2 linked regions of the Lytechinus pictus genome follow. The protein of the gene in region 2 interacts with the protein of the main gene of each other region in a biochemical or structural test. Links are inferred from orthologs where the notes say so. Each region holds a gene or a part of one and is shown on either strand. Other genes may lie near its edges.

Region 1 (10,020 bases), on a different chromosome or scaffold from region 2:
TAGGAAGTTCAGCCTATTAAAACATAAGTTGATTTTAACAAAAGCAAAAAAAATGAAATAAAAACATTGGATAAAAGTTCTATTAAAATACATTAAATTAACAGAGAACTTTACAAATTTGTATTTTTGTGATGTCACTGACAAGCTCATGACGTAATAATAAAATCACAAATATTACATCGAATAACAGTCACAATGTCATGATAAAATCATTGAGATTCCTGGGCCCCGTCTTACAAAAAGTTACAAAGAGTTAAGATTGATCCTGTCAACCTCAACTATATGGAAATCCATCAATGTCATAATTTTTTCCACAGGAAATTTGCACATCCTGTCCTATGTGAACAAAGAGAAGCACACTGAAATTTCAAGAAAACAATTGAATTATGAATAGACATCATTTCTAAAAAATATTTTGAACAAACATGCATTTACACATTTGGTGATGCTGGCTTTCCATAGTTGAGGTTGATCAGAATCAATCTTAACTCTTTGTAAGACGGGCCCTGGAGTACAACTGCACAAGTTTAGATCACGTTTGAAGACATTAAGCACAGAAAGCGCACTTTTTAGTATGCATGAGATTTGACATACCATGCATGAACACTATAAAAAATATTGCATAGCTATGAGAGGTTTTACTATCTATATAATAGAAAGTTAGTCAAGAATATACCAGACATGGTGGCTCAGTGGTAGAGAGTCCACCTCCTGAACGGGAGGTCGAGGGTTCAATCCCCGGCCAAGTAATACCAAAGATTTTAAATGTCAGGCACTCAATTTATTACATGTTATGCAGGGAATGTTGGGATAGTTTATAAGAGCTGAAGTGGCTACCCTTGGTATATAAGAATTATTATGTATCAGACATTTGAGTTGGTCATTTACAACAGTGTATTGCCCTAGATTTTGTGAATATCAGGAAGGGATAGGTATACGTATTTTGCTCAGTTTCTATGCCCTTATTGACTTTGCATGCAGAGACGACACAAAATGTACCTTTTTATTTTCCCTGGTCTCCTATTCGGGCATATGAGGATGCATAGAAAGAGATTATACACTTTGTAATGATCCGCGCAGCAACAATAAAGTCAACACTGGATCCGGACGCTGGATATGCATCCTTTTACCCTAGGGACGCGATCTTATAATTGCAAGTACGTCATAATGGTAAAGTGCAGAGCCTTAAGCCCCTGACATAAACATGACACAAAAGAACCATACTCTTAAAAGAAATTTCTCAATTTTCATGAATTGTTCTCTCGATGTCCGATTAATAGATGATAATAAAAATATGGATTCTCTATTCTTTCAGGGAACATCAAATATATTGCAATTAAAAGAACCACATTGCCCTCAACTATAGACTCAAGTCAATATTATTATATTGTGGGCCATATATTTGATATTCCCCTCAAAGCCAGTCATATTATATAATTATTTATACCTTAGTCTGTGATGATCCAACTCCTGGTGAGTTAAATCCTCCTGGTGTGTTGAATCCTCCTGGGGAATTAAATCCACCTCCACCCATTCCACCATGGTCATTACCATATCCATCAAAACCTGACAAAAAAAGTAAAAGACAAAATAATTACAAATTGTGGAACATTTTGTTGGATTAGTCTTCACACTTTGAGACAGAGGGTCATGGGTTTGAATCCCAGCAATGAGGTAATTTCTTCAGCAAGAAATTGATCCACAATGTGCCGCATTCAACCTAGGTGAGTAAAATGGGTAGACAGGAATTCCTCAAAAAGCTGTTCACCTGGATTTTGTAGATAAAATGTAGCTTAGCTGGGGTAACATACAACTACTAGTGTCATGTGACAAGGAGGATTATTACTAGGTACTACAGCTATTATTGGAGTAGAGGTTTACAATTTTTGTGCATTCAGAATTTACATGATTTATGATGAGCAGCCAAGAGCTGAAACATTCATGTTCACAACAGTCAACAGGTAATAATTATTCTTCAATCTAAAGCTTATCCACATCGTTGCATAGAGGTCATTCTCAGAAGAGCTTTGCTCCCTTTGCCAGAACACTTGTCTACCAGAGCGTGTGTGTGTGTGTGCATTTGAGTTTTGTCAGACATGTATCTATCAGATATGATTATTTGCGTCTGGGACCGACCTTAACGTCACCATCCGAAAGACGTGACCAGGGCTCAAACCTCGAACCTATGCATCAATTTGTAACTAATTTGTAGCTTGGATTACAGGCACACGCAACAACGCCCAGTTGAGCTTCTTCCCAGATTCAATAAGACTTAAGAACTCTCTCCCTTTTCACTATTCTGGCGTGCTGTTTCCCCTATCAAGAGGGGGATTCAAGCAGCAGACTCTAATCAAAGAGGGTGAGGTAGCCAGTAGAGGCGTGGTCAGAAAATTGGGATCGTCCCAGTTTACAGGGGAAAATAGATAGTGAACTGTGGGGAATTGAGGTCACTTGACGTAATCTATTTTTACTGACGCGCGTGTCTGTAAAGTTGGGGAAGAACAATATAGGAAACAAGATGGCGGCGTAAACATCGGGCGAGTCTCCCCCGACTTTTCATTTTTTTAAGCATACGTTAGTAAATGATTTTAATCTCTAGAAGCCTCCTGGCTTTGTGTAGCAAACCGCGCGATTTGTGTACTGTCGCCAAGCGAAAGACAATGAAATCAAGAAGGCGACGTAAACACGGTGGCAAGTTTTCTGTCTTTTATTACATTTTTCTTGTTTTTTGTCTTGAATTGTTTAAAAATGAAATCAATATCGTAGAAATGTCGGAAATGAAGTTGTATCCCATGTACATGACTTAGGGCTAACTTGATCTTTTAGAAGGAAAGTAGAAATCTCGGGGGCATACGTTAGTAAATCATTTGGCCATTCCGTGCTTTTGGGAACTGGTCACCAAATCGAATTTGTACCTCCTTTTACCACGACATGTAAAGAAACTTCGCTTCAGCGATTTTGAAAAGAATTGATGCGAGAGGCTTTGTTGACGATGCGAAGCTCCTCACACAACTGGTAACCTCTTTCCTCATGCGATATTTATCGGGCTCAGTTACCCATGGGTGGACAAGTTTTCAGATGACATCGATGATTCCGCTGAATTATAATTTTTGTAATTATATCCATCTACCCCGCATTTCCCTGCTCTTCAAGACCACTCTGCCACTTTCACAATGTTGAAAAAAAATGATTACAAAATTGATTTACTAAAAATCACAAACAAGATATATATGGGGATGAATCACTTTAATAAACTCTATATCTACTCGTGAAAATGGGAACCAGCAAAATGGGAACCAGCATAGCTGGTTCCCATTTTCACGAGTAGATAAAGACAGTTTACTAGTAATCTGTATTTATCTACTCGCTGAAATGGGAACCAGCGTGTACAACTCTATGGAGAATTTTTCACGCTGGTTCCCATTTTGGCAAGTAGATTAAACTAGTTTACTCTACTCGCTGAAATGGGAACTAGCGTGTACAACTCTATGGAAAATTCCCCATAGCGTTGTACGCACTGGTTCCCATTTCAGCAAGTAGAGTAAACTAGTTTAATCTACACTTTAAAATGGGAACCATCTAAGAAAATTCTCCTGAATTATACATGCTGGTTTCCATTTTCACGAGTAGATAAAGACAGTTTATTAGTCAGATTTATTTCGTCAGAATCATCACTGACGAAATAAATCTCATTGGCAATCTCTCTTTATATATTATCTACTCTTCAAAATGGGAACCATCTAAGAAAATTCTCCTGAATTATACATGCTGGTTCCCATTTTCACGAGTAGATAAAGACAGTTTATTAGTCAGATTTATTTCGTCAGAGAATCATCACTAACGAAATAAATATCACTAGTAATCTGTCTTTATCTACTCGCTGAAATGGGAACCAGCGTGTACAACTCTATGGAGAATTTTCCACGCTGGTTCCCATTTTGGCGAGTAGAGTAAGCTAGTTTACTCTACTCGCTAAAATGGGAACCAGCGCCTACAACTCTATGGAAAACTCCCCATAGAGTTGTACACGCTGGTTCCCATTTCAGCGAGTAAACTTGTTTACTCTACTCGCTAAAATGGGAACCAGCGTGTACAACTCTATGGGGGAGTTTTCCACGCTGGTTCCCATTTTGGCGAGTAGAGAAAAGACAGCGACGAAATCAATCTTTCTGATCTAACTAAAATAGTAAGAGTAGACTAAGTCACTAACGTTAAGCTCTTTGAAGGATTCGATTTATTTAGAATCAGCGCGCCAGCTGAGCTGCGGTGAAGCAGTGAGCAAGCTCGAAAAGATAGGTGGGTCATGTCTTGTCGTGAAAAAGTGTCCTGTGGAAATTAGGAACTGGTTCCCAATTTCACGATAATGCCAATCATTTTTACTCAGTCTCAGTCTAACGTTAAAACTCTTAAGTCTAAAGTCTAAGCTCTCTAACTAAGTCTAAGTGAGAGCACACACACTCACACACACGACTGCACATTCAAATTTCAATTGACAGACTCGATCACGAGAGGAGAGATAAGAATTAAGATATATTTCACGATAATTATGAATTAAGGCCGACGGTGTAATTACCTCCTTGGTTGTTGAACATATTCGAAGAGAAGTCTCGATCCAAATATTAATAATTATTTACAGAGAAGGAACTCTTCTTTTTCCGATTGGAAACAGTGTGGTTGCAATTTACATTCACAGAACCGTACCCGTTCACAAGTACAATTTGGAGACGGCGCGCCAGAATCTTGGTATTGACCAATCAGAGGGCTTGTTGTATATCGGGAATACATGAAGCGAGCGAAATCGGCCTGCTACGAACGCGAATCACCCACTGCATGCTTTATGCACGGCCGGTTGAGCAAGACAAGGAAGTCATGAGAAATCACCCGGGGAATCACCTCGGGATTTTGTTTGTTTGTTTTTATTTTGTTTTTTCTCCAGCGTTGGGTAAAACCATGGAGGTAGAAGCCAGTTCTTTGTATGCGTTTACTAATGACATACCGTACATTTAAGATGGATATTCATGAACAGGGGCCGCGGGGGGGGGGGGGGGGGTGCATGGGCTTCAGCCCGCCCTCCCCCATTTTTTAAATCCAAAACCGTGTACAAAAACGTAAAAATGACCATACGATTGTGATTTTTTGCATGGTCAGCCCCCCCCCCCCCCACTTTGAAAACCGTTCCGCGGCCCCTGATGAAGTAAATTTGAATAACGAAATATGGGGGGGCATAGGCCTATTACGTACGTGTAGCCTAGCTAGGGTTGAAATATCTGGTGTACTCCCCGGGGGGGGGGGGCGCTCGACCAAAAAATTGGTAGGTGTGTGCCGCGGGCGAGACAAAAACCGGGGACCTTGGAGCGGACTTATTGTAAAAAGGAGGGTCCTCGGAGCGGGCTTCGGAACTACAAATGCTTGTGAAAACGGGGGTCCTTAATTGGAACGGGTTCGCGCAGAGGCGATGGTCGGACAGCGCTCAGCGGCCGCTTTTCACCAAAATGGCAGCTCATTGTGGCGGATCAATGCGACCGGAACGGCGTAACGAAAAATATGCGAAGCTTTGTAGCGGATTTCTTTCTTCTTTTCTTTTCTCTCGATAAGAAGAAAATGCTATGCTTTTCGGAGCGGCTTTCTTATAGTTCTTTTTCTTAATAAGATGAAAATGCTATGCCCTGGAACGGAAATTTGAGTTTAAAAATGGGGGTCCCCTCCGCGGCACATACCCACTATGCATTAGTGAGTGCCCCCCCCCCCCCCCCCCCGGTGTACTCCTAGCTATTAGAAGTCTAGAATCCGGAAATCATACAATGTATAAAATTGCCCAAAATATAAATCTTGGTTTTCGTTTACAAAAAGACATATATTTTGATAGAGAGAGAGAGAGAGCGCGGGGAGGAAAGTTGTTTTGTCCAAATCTGTCACAAAATTATTATCACAAAGACAAGTGTGTGAGTGTGTGTGTGTGTTTTCCATCGATCGCTTCGCCCCTTCCAGCTTCTCAGAAATTCTGCCATGTCTGCAGATCGACCCCCTCAAAAGTTTTCGCTCATTTCACCGATGGGGCGAGATGGGCCCGGGATGGGCAAAGTGCAAGCAATAGGGGCACAGGCATGGCCCTGCAGCCTGCCGGGGTACTTACGTGCTTATTAAGCACCCAAAAAATTATTTTGGGGTGTTGCGTGTATAATTCTTCATAGGCAGCTTCCCCAGGTATTCTGGAAGCTGATATGTGAACAAAATTGAAAAATGTAACCAAAGTGACCTTGATTTTTAGTGTAGTGAAACCCCTTGTTTGTTTTTATTGTATTGTTTTCAAATTTCTCGATCGGGACCAATTTGACTTCCATTTTGTATTGAATCCTTTTTTCTTTCTTTCTTTCTTTCTTTTCAAATTTACATCAGCACCCCCAGTAAAAAAAATCGCACGGCCCTCAGGGCACATGCAAAAAAACCGCCCTGGAAAAGAAAGCCAAATAGGTAGAAAAAGTTATCTAAAGACTTTTAACTCTTACTTGCAGCTAGCTACCTTATAATAATTATTTATGTGGAGGGGGCAATATTATATAAGCACCTAAGCTGCCCTGGACGCCAAGTTTCTGAGCTACAGGTCATATTAATATGCCCACGTCGGGGTGCGCCGAAAAAAAAATGTCAAGTAAAAAAGTGGGCCGTGAGCATAGGCGTCATTGCCCAACTATTGGCACCAAAGGGGTCCCATAGCCCCGCCCCCCCCCCCCCCCGCCTCGATAAAAAGGGGGAAATCGGAGAAAGGAGAGATGATGAACGGAAGGCAAAGAATGGAAAGAGAGGAAGAAATAAAAATAAGGCCGCGGGACATGCAGGGAGAGGGTCAAATATATTTCCAATTAATATATTGAAATCGAAAGTGAGACAAAGAAGTGAGATAGAGAGAGGGAGAGAGAGGCAGAGAGAGAGGGGAGAAATTAAAGAGAAAGAGAGGAAGGGAAACGGAGAGGCGAAGAAAAGAATATGGGGGGAAAGGGGAGAGTTGTATAAAATACAGAACAGCCTAAGAGGTGGATATAGGAGGACAATGTTTGTTTTATTTGTCGTTTTATTAAACAGAGAACCCCTTTCAATTATAAAAACTGCTCGACCAAGGAGACCTGTATAAACACACATCTAAAAACATGACAAAACAATAATACATGTAATAGTAAGCCATAATAATCAATGAGAAAGAACAAAAAAAAGTAAAGGCTATTATTATTTTTTTTCATTCCTATAATTTCCAACAAAACAAGATATTTCTGATAAAAATTAGTTATGTTTTTCTATGTGATATAGATCAGTGGGTGCTATACACAAGCTAGGGTCGGCCACCGGTCAATCATGATATTTGAAATATTGGGGGGGGGGGGAGGACGGAGAAAGGGAATTAGGAAACGAACAGATAAGAAAAAAGACCTTCAAAAAGATAAATATTGTTCGCTAGAAATTAATATGAAGGCCTTTGAGGCTACCTTTTCTATGATTCAAGGATTAAGGACTATCATATAGGGGGACTATATCGATGTGTAGGAATTTAGATCTAAGTCACTATAAACAAAGTCAGTGAACAATAAAGGCCTACAACTGTACAATGAATTTGGTTCTTTCTGAACCCGAAAACAACAATAATATAGGCCATGTCACCTTTTCGGTATATCGGCCCACTTGCCGACCATGATTGGTACTTACTATACTAATTAGTACGTACTCAATAAGGCGCTCGTCCTAACCATTGGCGGCGGAAGCAAACAAATTTAGGGGGTCCACCTGAAATTTTTGAAAAAATTGACAAGCTTATTGACAAGTTTCGGATCAACAGAAATTGTATGGGGGGGGGTCCCCCACCTCAAATCTAGGGGGGACACGACCCCCGCCCCCCCCCCTTCTGCCGCCTATGGTCCTATAACCCCGGCCAAGCTCGTCTACCGATTCCGGTGCTCACAATTATTTGAGATTATTGTCTTAACTGCCAATTAACCTCACCTGGGTTGAGTACAGCACATTGTGAATACATTTCTTGTTGAAGGAAAATTACGCCATATTATAGCCATCAGGGCCCTGCGTGGGAACGATTTTTTTTACAGGAGGGGGGGGTGATGTAAATTTGAAAAGAAAGTGGAAAAAAGGTTTTGCCCCCCAAAAAAGTTTTCACTAAAATAATAAGGGGGCATTTTTGGTACATTTTTCCATGTTTACAAATCTTCAAGAATACCCGGGGGTGCTGAGTGTGAAAAATAATACACGCAGCACCACCAAGGAAACTTTTGGGGTACTAATTCACCACCCCGCTTCCCAGGGCCAGTCATAGCTAGGATTCGAACCCACGACCCCGGTGTTTCAAAGTCCGAAGACTAATCCACTAGACCACAACGCTCCACAAAAAGGACAAAGATAAGGACTCTTATGGGAAACCCTTTTTTCACCCTCGATCTCAATTGAACCCTTATCGAGATAATTACAATTTCTCATACATGTACAAAATGAAATACACATCAATATGATAAATGAACGAAAATAATTATATTGTAGGCCTATTATCGTGACAAAATTTGTACAATATAATGGATGAATAATCCATGAATACAAACAGAAATCAATTAATTTCACTTGCACGTGTAGCCCTCATCACAAAAAATAGAACAATGAGACAAAGACAACATGATCAATGAGAGCTCGAATGGCGAGCTGATCTTCGATCATTGGGTTCAGTTACTCCAGTATAAGCACTTTTTGTCATTTATCTAACTAAGTGAATAATGCGACCGCGAAGCGCCTGCTAATTTCTGAAAAGAACCGTTATGCATAAACAGGGCCGCGGAACGGTTTTCAAAGTGGGGGGGGGGGGGGGGGGGGCTGAGCCAAAAAATCACAATCATATGGTCATTTTTACGTTTTTGTACATGGTTTTGGAAAAAAGTGGGGGGCTGAAGCACCCCCAGCCCCCCGCTTCCGTGGCCCCTGCTAAATAATCTTTTAGGAGGGCAAATAAATTCAGACCTGCCCGAACATTTTGAGCATCATGTTATCCTCATAATCTAATTTACAGATGAATATTAATTAGTGCGGAGCAAGAAACCGAGCTAAAGTTTTTGTTTGTAAATTTATTATTTTAGCTTCCTTTCCATTTCCCCCACCTGGCGCAAAGATGGTGTTGGGGGCTGGGGCCATAGACCCCCACATTTTTCACGATCAAGAAAATAATAGAGAGAAGGGTGAAATGTAATATCATTTTCTGAACGTTATATCAAAATCTATCACAAAATTAGATTTTTGTCAAAAAAATGTCTTCGCTCGATTGCAACTTTTTGCCAATTTTGCACGTCTGGCGCCCCCTCAAAACTTTTGGCTCATATCATGCCAATGATATTCCCTTCATAGTCATTCCTTTTTCCTTGGCAATAGTTCTAATTCTTCCTTTATTTTTTCTTCCGCTCCCTTATTTAATGGCCAAGCTAGGGCTCTTATTTTGGGGGCGAAGTCGCCTGGGCCCCTGAGAATTTTTTTACCTGTTATTTAAATTACAGATCAGCGATATAGCTATAGATCAGGCCTAATGGGTTTTGAAAAATGAGGGGGCACAATTAACATGGCGTGAGCAAGGTCTTAAAGTCCTGAGCGAGCAAAGCGAGCGAGAAAAAAATTCAAAAGATTCAAGTTTTTCCCAGAGTTTTTCTCAATTAATGAACATATAGGCCACAATAAACAGCTAGTGATACCACTTCATTTCCATAGTGAACTATATCTAGTACATGAACATTATAGTTATCGCATTCCTTTAATACATCAAACTCAAAGAATTAAGGGAACAAATAATTAGATAAAAATCGAGGAAGAAATACTAAAAGAGCGCGCAGGATTAGGGCCCTGTTACATGAAATTTTAATAATTGATTGTAGGTTGGTATCGATCATTAATGTCATTGATTATTGCGTATGATCAATTGTAAAAATCAATCCTTTGATCAATTACTATTGACTGTGTAACAAGCCCTGATGAGGAAAGTATCGTACTTCT
Region 2 (10,220 bases):
CTTGATCTTGAGTAGGGTCAGCGGGATGGGATGAATCACGTCCCTCTTCCTGCCCAAGTCTTGTCGGTGATAAACCTCCCTCTTGTTCCTGCATGGGTAACAAATAATATAAGAGGACCGCTTTCACAAAGATAATGCACGTACAGTGTAAACATATGTTAACCAATGGGGGATCAGAGATTTCATAAATGAGGGAGTACAAACAGCATTTCAGAATTCCTTGACAAGCAACAACAACAAAAATCATATTTTCCTTCACAAAAAAGGCAAAATCTGCTTGTTGTTCCCAAAATTCTGACAACATTTAAAGGCACTGATGAAAGGGGTGAGACAATGCCAATTTTGGCAAGAACCATTACATGTACCTCTAAAATTTGTCAAATTTGAGTCAAGAGAAATCTCAGAAAATGGCTATAACAGAACCAGAAGATTTGTTTTCACACAGAAATGTGTGTCTTTGATGTAGTTTATTCCACAGAATATATATTAGCATATATGTCCAACCTTGGCCCTAGTAGAGTACCTTTCAAAAAAAAATCAGTGATTACCGTACTGTGATTGTGAACCATTAGACTTAGAGATTGACAAGGCTCTACATACATGTACAGTTGAGGCCAGAAATTTACATACACTCAGAAAATTTCAAAGAAAAGTTGACACTTGCCAAACATAAAATGACTTTATCTTATAAAATATTTGTGCTATCATGACGAATTTGAATTGAACAAATGAGTATGTCATGCCCCTTCATTGCACTGCTTTGTCATCAGGAGCTGAATAATATTTAGGTGTCATTTTTTCCCCGAAATTTTTCATATTTTAGACAAATTAGAAATAAAAACTTGATAAAAACATTTCATATTTGTGCTTCTAACTTCTCAACACAAACTTTTTTGTTCAGTGGTGACAGATAGAAAATGTAATATCAAGCATATATTTGACATTTATATATTTCTATGAAACAATGTTTGAAAATATAATAATAGAATACATTTGGCATGAATATTACTTTTTTTCTTCAAAGGAAATTTCACTTAAAATATACTTAAATCCCAACAGCATCCCAATCATGTGAAAGAGCTTAATACGCTCTTTCATTTGATACGAAATTCGTCATGGCAGTATTTATATTTTTGAAGATAGTAAAGTTTACGATGTTTGGCAAGCGAACAAATTTCACTGAATTCCATGTCAAAATCTGCAACATTGGATAAGCTTCATCAGATGAATGGGTTTTTTTTTTTTAGTTTCTCTTTTAAGCATTTCAAGGGCAACTCCACATCACCTACTGGCCAGCTCCGGTGTAATTCTTTCCCTGCTTTGCAAGGAGTGCCATTTTTGCGTCCCCCCCTTCTCTCTCTCTTTCTCTCTTAATTCACTCTCTCCGTATATTTTTTTTTCTTTCAATATTGAAAATGTTATGCAAACCTGATGGTGTTCATGATCCTGTGATATTTCTGTAGCATCTGAATCATATAGATCTTGATCACTTTCGATGAGGATGGTCGAACCATTATCATCTTCATCAGAATCACCGTGATCCATTGGTCATCAATCAATCATAACCTGTATTAAAGAGAAGATCAAATGTAAAATTAAACGGATGCACATGCACAAGAAACAAAGTCTTTGGTTCGTTCTGCACGACATTAAGATGGGGAATTCCCTTTGTCTTTCGAGCTCTGCAAAAAAACAATTATTTTGGGGGCTTCCTTTAACTTAGTCTTAGAAGTTAGGCTCTAGCACTCATTCAATGAACAAGGTTATGGCCATATGGGCTCTACTCTGTACTAGATCTACCCAATTAAATCTGCAACATTGGATAAGCTTTATAATTAAATTAAGTTTAAGACTGCATCACCACTGGCACTGTCATGACCAGTAGAGGCGCACGGCCAATATGGGAGACTCTCTCCAATAGGGGAGACAATCTCCCACATTGGAGACTTGCTTTGCAAAAGGACAAAAGAAACAACACCAACAAAAGCATGATTTTTTCCACCCAAAATTTTGTCTCACTGGGGTCAGAAGCCCATTTGTTTTGTGTGTGATTGACAACAAAAATCCTTATCAAAACAAAAGTAGACAGTGAATTTTTAAAGTAGACGGTGTCGGTGAAAAGGGGTAATTTTTCATGAAGAATCTGCTTATCACATTTTTATTTGCCGCCAAGGTAATCCTTTTGCAGCAAATGTAAACAAAGGAAATTGGACTCCAAAACACTCTAGGCGACACCCCAATACTTACCCGTGCTAATAAACTGGGACTCCACTCACGCGCGTTTGGGCCTCCCTAGCTTAGAACTAAGCACTAATATCACCTTAAAAACTAAATCTACAAGGTATGTATAATCTATTTACAACTTTAATAATGTTTAATCGGTACTCACCGGTTCTTTTGTTGCATTTTCAGACCATTTCTCACAATTCTTCGTAAATATTTGCGGCAAATTTTGTCGCCATAGACAGCTTAGCATCCATCTTTATTGATAAATGGAGCGCCCTTTACGATAGTTGTTAATGCCGCGGAGAAATCGTTAGGCATTTTGGCCTGTGTTCAAGGCGTTCTTTCTGTTTTATTTTTTATATTGAAGATTGTGCATTTGTTGAATAGCGCCGTCTACGTCAGGTATGAGATCGAGTGTATAAATACACTCTTCCAAAATAATTATGATTCCGACCTGGCGCTGTTTAACTTCAATCTCTTTCACCTAAATTAGCGATGAATGCTAGCATTATAAAATATATATTATTAACGTCTGACGAAAAGAATAACCAACCGATCAGCTGACGAGAACGCGAATCACGTGATCTTCATATCAGCTTCGATCGCGAGTCAGAAGAGAAGAGCAGCTGCCCAGAAAATCAGGAAAAAGCCGTGAAAATGTAAGTTCCCCTTCATTTCTTTCATTTTTTTTTTTTTGCTAACGATGCATTTACACTATAAAATTATAATTTAAATAAGAGAAAGGAATATAGCTTGTACTTGTGATATAATAATATAAATATCCTGTTCTCAGAGATTTCTAACCAAAAATACTACTGATGTCGCCTATGAGGTCCATACATGTAATGTTGGACCTCATTGGTACTAGGAGTGCTCCAAAACTGGAGACTGTCTCTAAAAATTGGATAGGCCTACCAAAATTCTTTACAAAAGTCTCTGATATTGGAGATAATCTGCCACATTACTCATTAGAGATAGTCTCCAATATTGGCCGTGCGCCTCTACTGATGACTGTGGTCCATACGATGGGCGTATGCCTCTGGAGTCTTGATACTCAGACTCCCACGGCTCCTTCTAGTTCTAAGACTAAGTTCTTGTTTAACTTAAACAAGGACAAAGACAAAGTATAACTTTTCGTTTCCAGGCCAGGCAGTGCTACTGCCGTACTGCTAGTTTTGAGCATTGCATTTGTCCCCTGTCCCTCTGCATGTTTGGTCTCTCTTACTAGTTGATTGTTCCACTGCACTCAGCTCCAATGGCTTAATTTTTTTTTTATTGAAGACTCTTCCAAACAGACGGCTGCCAGCTCTCGAACGTCTCCAGCTCCGCTCCGCGATGGGGCACCAGCGCCAGCATAGCGCTCGCTAAGCTAGCGCCACTGCCCCCGGCCCGGCCTGGGAGAGGAAGCCAAAGGCGAGGTCAGTGCCAGACGGGCCAGAGCCGAAGCAGGGCACTGGCAGAGACAGAGTGCCGAGACAAAGTCAAAATCAGACCATCATTCAAAATTAAGATTTCAAATTGGTTTTATGTTTCAACACCAGCTTCAAAATACTTCCGTATCAAAAACACACTGTGCCTAATTCACATATGTATTCACTTTTTAAGATAAAAAAATAGTAATAATCTAACTTACTGTAATCCTAAATTAACACGAAATGATGCAGAGAAGATGCGATTTCATAATCAGGCGCGCGCTCGATAATAGAGGGCGCGCGCAGTGCTTCCACTTTTCAAAACGAAACTCACAGTGGAATTTTATAATTTACTAAATATCCTGTAATTTTACAAATGGGCCCCAGTCTTCCATAAGATGTTATGTCAGTGGCAGCATCGAGATTTTAAACTAGGGGGGGACAAAGGCAGACATGATTTTTTTTTGTCTGTGATGTTCCCAAAATCGAGCGCGAAGCGCGAGTTAAAATTTCAAAATCATAGTCCCTACTGACTTGAAAAGGGACCTGACCGATTGAGATTATAGGTATCTCCCCAAATAAGTAATGCGAGCGTGAAGCGCGAGCTGAATATCGTGAGATGATAAATATATCGGGAAGGTCAGTCAGAGAGCATATAACATTCTAGACAAGGTCATTATGCTGATCATATATTCAGGAAGTGTCGATCAATATAACCAGTCACCGACAGGAAAAAGTGATCACTGCAGCCTCCTTGTTGATGTTTCATCTTCGAGATAGGCTGCAGAGCCCTTTGAAGATTAAAGCAGATGATGAAACTTTAATCACTTTTTTATATAGGAAGGGTACTATAGTTATTGATGCGAGGCGTAGCGCGAGAGTTTTTTTAAAAATATTTTTTTAATTTTTATCACTTTTTTGTAAGCAGGATGCGTATCTCACTAAAACAAATAATGAAAACTTGAATCACATGAAGAATAATTTGTGCATATTGCGCTTAAACACTGGCCTTTTTAGCCCCTTTGTTATCCAATTAAACAGATTTTATTAACCAATGCACCGCCACTGCGTGCACGAAGCGCCAGCTAAATTTTGAATGTTGTATGACTCGAAAGATTTGTGCTAACAGTGACTGCATGGATGAGAAAATTTGTAAAATTTTATGAGTGAAAATGTTGTATTGAGGTATGCCTACTTTAAAACAGCTTGAGTAGGATGCTTATTCAGCTTAATTCAGTTATATTTTTTTAAGTTTTCAAAAAATTTCAAAATTATTGCTGCCTCCACTGTGTTATGTTTCTCTTCCATACGCATAAAAAATATTATAAATATATGCAACTGCCAGTACAAGTCCTCAGCAACACGTAGGCCTACGTTACACAATCATGAATTACACAAGTCTTCAATAGGCCTACTGTGGGCGTCGTATTCTAGTGGTTACGACACTCGACTTATAAGGATGTGTGGCCTGACGAGTGGGTTCGAATCCCAGCCTGTGGCGTGTTTTCCTTTAGCAAGAAATTTACCCAGCACATTGTGCTGCACTCGACCCAGGTGAGGTGAATGGGTACCCGGTAGGATTTATTCCTAACTTGAATGCTTTAGCGCCTATATAGGCCCGTGGCGGCTCAGCTACTGTACAGCCGGGGTCATAATATACCAAGAATCAAGATCAGTATATGCAATTATAATAGCTGCGCTATATAAATGGACCATTATATTGTCTACTATAGCTGACTGCCCTATCAGCAACCCACATAAGAAGCCAATTTATAGTCGATCCTTAGCTTTATCTTTTTTAAGTAAAACATGCATAATACATTAATATTATATTACGATACGGATGATGATGATCATCATTATAGTGATAATAATAATAATTGTAGTAATGATGATTATCACGGTGATCTTAATCATATTTGGGTGTTTCCATAATTAAGGGACTCATCCATACCCGGGGGGGGGGGGCCACTTCCATTGACGAGTGGATACCATGCGCGACCATGGGGTCTCGAAAAGCACACTAAACACGTATTTTCCAAATTCTGAAAATGCACCCCTTAACAAGTATTGGCGTCTGAAACCCTACCCTTAACAAGTATTGGAAACAAAACGATACTCTTGGCAAGTATTCCCTGAAATGAATCCCTAAACAAGTATACAGCGATATTTGATTGTTATGTCACGAGTCCATCGGTCGTCGGTTTTACCTTTACAGTTTACACACCATTTGGTTTAGTACGGCCCCAGCTTCCACACCTCGCGCAAATCGGACTCTAAACACGTAGTGTTGGGGCAAAAAGGACATCCTTTATAAAACATTTTAATTTTGTTTTATCATTCCCCCAAATATGACCTTAAACACGTAGCTTTCCTAGCGAAATAGATACCCTTTTTTCATTATTTTTGTGTTTTTGACACCCTTATCACGTTACGTACGTAACGTACCCTATCTTGAAAAAGACATCCTTTTTACGTGTTTTTTTGGTCGCGCATGGTATCCACTCGTCAATGTAAGTGGCCCCCCCGGGCATCCATATGGGTATCGATCACGATCGAGGAGTGCATGGGGTTAGTACTCCCCTATAAGGCTTCAGGTGGGGGGTGGCATGTGTTCTCATCCCCCCATAAAAAAAAAATTGCGGTCGAACATAATTATGCATAATATATTGCTGTACAAAAAAAAACCATTTAGGGGTGGTTTTTTTCAGTTTTAGACGTGGGCCATGCGTGCACTCGTTACGGGTATCAAAAACACCGATTTTTTTTAAAGGTGGTTTTGAAAGACTTGTCAATAATCAATCGCGTCAAACGTATTTAAGGTATTTTCCAAAGCTACGTTTTTTTTTAGACTAGCCAAACGTGTTTAGGGTATGTTTTTCCCCAAGCTTTTTCCCCCGCTTTTCCCCGGGTCTTTTTCCTCCTCGTTTCTGAAAAGTGTTCGTGACGGTCTTCCCGGGACACGGGAAAACGGTCATGAAATTTGTCACCTCTCTGTCCACGCGGCAATTTGTTTTATAACTAGGGGCCAAAATAAAATCCCGCGAAAAACTTGATTAGGGGGTTAACTTGCACACAGAGAAAAAAAACTCGTTTAGGAGGTGTTTGGAAATAATTTGGTCACGCAGGTGTACAGCAATACATTTGACTGCCACCCCCCCCCCCCCGGGCGAACATCATAATGATTACTATGAATCATATTACAAGTATATATGATCGTGATACAAGGAATACAATACTGACGGAGCGTAATGGTAATATCGATCGTCGTATAATACGCATGATACGACCTTCATTTTGTTTTTTTTTCTCTCTAAAATTTCCTATGTAGGCCTATATTCAATTCAATTCTTTTATTTCATTTCCATTCAAAACATAATACAAAGTAATATAAAGTAATACAAATCAAGTACAATTTTACAGAAGGGCATTCTTACTTCGTAAAAAAACACAGAAAAAACAGTATAATATAGAGCATAAATGGAAATGAGGGGATCCACTAAAAAGCAAAGCTTGTAAAGTGTGGATTCCCCTTGGAAATGAAGAAAGTATAGTAGACTTATTCTTATATGCGTACATATATGTATTACAGGAAATAAAAAGAGAACAAAAGAAATCATACGGATGCAAATATGATTACTGAACAAATGCAAAGCTTTTCACACAATATTGTAATTGAATGAAACAATTCCTTTGAAATATAGTTTTAGAAACAGATAGGCCTCGAGGGGAAAATATCCAGGATGAAATAGAACTTAGCGGCCCGAATTCACAAAGGTGGTTTTGAAAACCCACGGTTGAGTCCATGGTTTATGTAGATTTCCTGTATAAATTACGCTTAATTTAGCGCGTATCTGGCGCGTGTATAAAAAATGTCCAATTCCGATGCGCGCTTTTGTCACAGTGCGCCAAATTGACGCCTGTTACCATGGTTAGATACGCTATTTTATTCATGAGTCCACTGTTTTTATTCATGAGTCCACTCTTCAAACAGTGGACTCATGAATAAAATAGCGTATCTAACCATGGTAACAGGCGTCAATTTGGCGCACTGTGACAAAAGCGCGCATCGGAATTGGACATTTTTTATACACGCGCCCGATACGCGCTAAATTGAGCGTAATTTATACAGGAAATCTACATAAACCATGGACTCAACCGTGGGTTTTCAAAACCACCTTTGTGAATTCGGGCCAGCATGTTCATGTTTATCTTACCCCTCCCAGCAGCCAACAACACGAGTTGGGTGTGCCCCTAATAAAAAAAAAATGAAGTGACATAATAATTATGTCACTTCATTTTTTGTTATCATTCTTTATCCCGGTTTATGATGTAAAATAAGTCTGAGGAGAACATAGGCCTATAAAAGAAATGACAGTTTAAAAGATTGTATAAATGGGTAATAACGCGGCTGAACTTCCTATAAATGGTTCATTTTCAGGAAATAAAAAACAGTTCGCGCTTACATTTGTACGTAGTATCTATAGTCTGGCTGTAGAATAAATCTATAACTCCTATAAGGACCCCCCGCTGGCGTATAGATGTGAGGCTTAATGGGGACCATGGAAGAAAAGGGTGAAATTGTGTACATATATATGTATATATGTATATAAATATATATATATATATTTATATATATATTTATATATATATATATATATATATAAATGGGTAATACCGCTGAACTTCCTAAATGGTTCATTTTCAGGAAATTGAAAAAAAAACAGTTCGCGCTTACATATAGATACTACGTACAAATGTGAGCGCGAACTGTTTTAATTTCCTGAAAATGAACCATATAGGAAGTTCAGCGTTATTACCCATTTATACATAAATATTATATATATTGAATTGAAAATGACCATATATATATATATATATATATATATATATATATATATATATATATATATATATATACGGCATTTACTAAATATTTGTAATTACTCTCTCTCTCTCTCTCTCTCTCTGTATATATATGTGTGTGTGTTTTTTTAATATGGCAAAATCTAGTTCATAATTAGATTTTTGTATTAAAAGGTCTTTAAAAAAAAACTCAAAGAAAACAGGGGGGAAATGGGGCAGTACCCCCCCCCCCCCCCGAAATTATGAAAAATGTTTGTTTTACTGAAAATTTTCACAAAAATGAATTAAAAGTGTTTAATAAATCCTTCAATTTCACTTGAGAAAATGCAAAAGCGCCCCAAAGGCAAGCTCGGTCGATACACTTCCTAATTGTTTTTGAGGTTCTTCAAATTTTTACGCGTCTTGCCCCCCCCCCCCCCCAAACAAATTCTGAGTATGGCCATGGCGAGTTCCCGGCCACCCCAACCAACCATGAACACCGATCGTCACCCATATGGTCCCCGCATAACAATCAAAGAAATTGTCAGGTGGTATGTTTACTTATATACAGAACCGAGATGGCAGGTATTATATGCTGGCCCTATTAATTGGCTACACTCAGTTCAATTCAATTCAATCATGGTTTATTTCGTATAAAAACAATACATGTTACACAGCCAGAAGGCTGAAATTAGCATGTTTACAATAAAACATTCACAAGTCACGGATAAAAGCAAACAATTACAATTTAAACACATGTACATAGATAATAAATAATTTTTAAAGAGCAAGTGTACATAAAATTCATTAAATATAATAAAATAGAATGGAAAAAGAAACTTATGTAAATACAATTTTAAAAAGTGATGAATATTAGACAATTAAAAATTCAAATATCAATTGGATTGAAATGGAGACTAAAACAATGGCAAAAATACGAATTGATTTCAAGGGTATGAAAGTAAAAATTTATTTAGAATTTAGTAAATCAATGAAATATGGTATTGCACATTTTCTAAAACGATCTGTTTTGCATTTTATCTGAGCAAAGTTTGGAACACCTCTTAATGAGATTGAGACATTTTTCCTTTTTGGTAGCCAGTTATTGAGGGTTTTTTTTTAAAGAGATTTAGCAAACTCCATGCACAGTTTTTTTCGTCTTCTTTCAAGACATTCTAATCCACATTTTGTTAGTGCATTTTCATAGTCTATATAATCTGAACCAAGAATTATTTTGCAAACTCTTTTTTTGTATTTTTTCTAAGTCCTTTACCTCTTTAGCAGTTAGTTCCAGGGGGCCGGGGGGTCACTGCCATTGGACATGTAGTAGCTAAGCATATCTGCGACAAAGAAAACGCGGGAAAATACTATAATAGCCAGCAACGAACGCATGTCTCTCCTTTTTCATTATTATGTATATACAGTGCGTCCCAGTAAAAGGGAAACGTCCCGTAATTCAGTGTAATTTTTTGACATCATAATCATAAATTTGCTTCATGATATGTACGTATGTCAATGGCAAGATATGCTTCCCCTCGAAGACCCATGTGAACGTTTATAATGCACGCATGACTGAGTGATTGGAACAATGGAAAGTGCCGGTGCCAGTAAATTTCCATTTGCACGAGCAATTTGTCATTTTAAGTGAGTTTTCTGACTTTTACTACTATCTATTCGGAAAACAAAGTTAACTTAAATTTCCATTCTTCATCTTTTATACGAGACCTTGTGCGTATC

The links.
Region 1: the proteins of E3 ubiquitin-protein ligase RFWD3-like (region 2) and replication protein A 32 kDa subunit-B-like form a complex in vitro, tested with the Homo sapiens proteins (3 studies listed by BioGRID, with this or other methods). The link is inferred for Lytechinus pictus from reciprocal best matches to the Homo sapiens genes RFWD3 and RPA2.

What each region holds. Positions count from the first base shown.
Region 1 is NC_087261.1:4,470,057-4,480,076, reverse strand, and holds the start of replication protein A 32 kDa subunit-B-like, read right to left. Parts: upstream 4,772-10,020; 5' UTR 4,593-4,771; coding exon 4,574-4,592; intron 1,567-4,573; coding exon 1,448-1,566; intron 1-1,447. UniProt on the Homo sapiens protein: As part of the heterotrimeric replication protein A complex (RPA/RP-A), binds and stabilizes single-stranded DNA intermediates that form during DNA replication or upon DNA stress.
Region 2 is NC_087250.1:13,547,835-13,558,054, forward strand, and holds the start of E3 ubiquitin-protein ligase RFWD3-like, read right to left. Parts: upstream 3,946-10,220; 5' UTR 3,860-3,945; intron 1,567-3,859; 5' UTR 1,546-1,566; coding exon 1,429-1,545; intron 89-1,428; coding exon 1-88. UniProt on the Homo sapiens protein: E3 ubiquitin-protein ligase required for the repair of DNA interstrand cross-links (ICL) in response to DNA damage. Plays a key role in RPA-mediated DNA damage signaling and repair.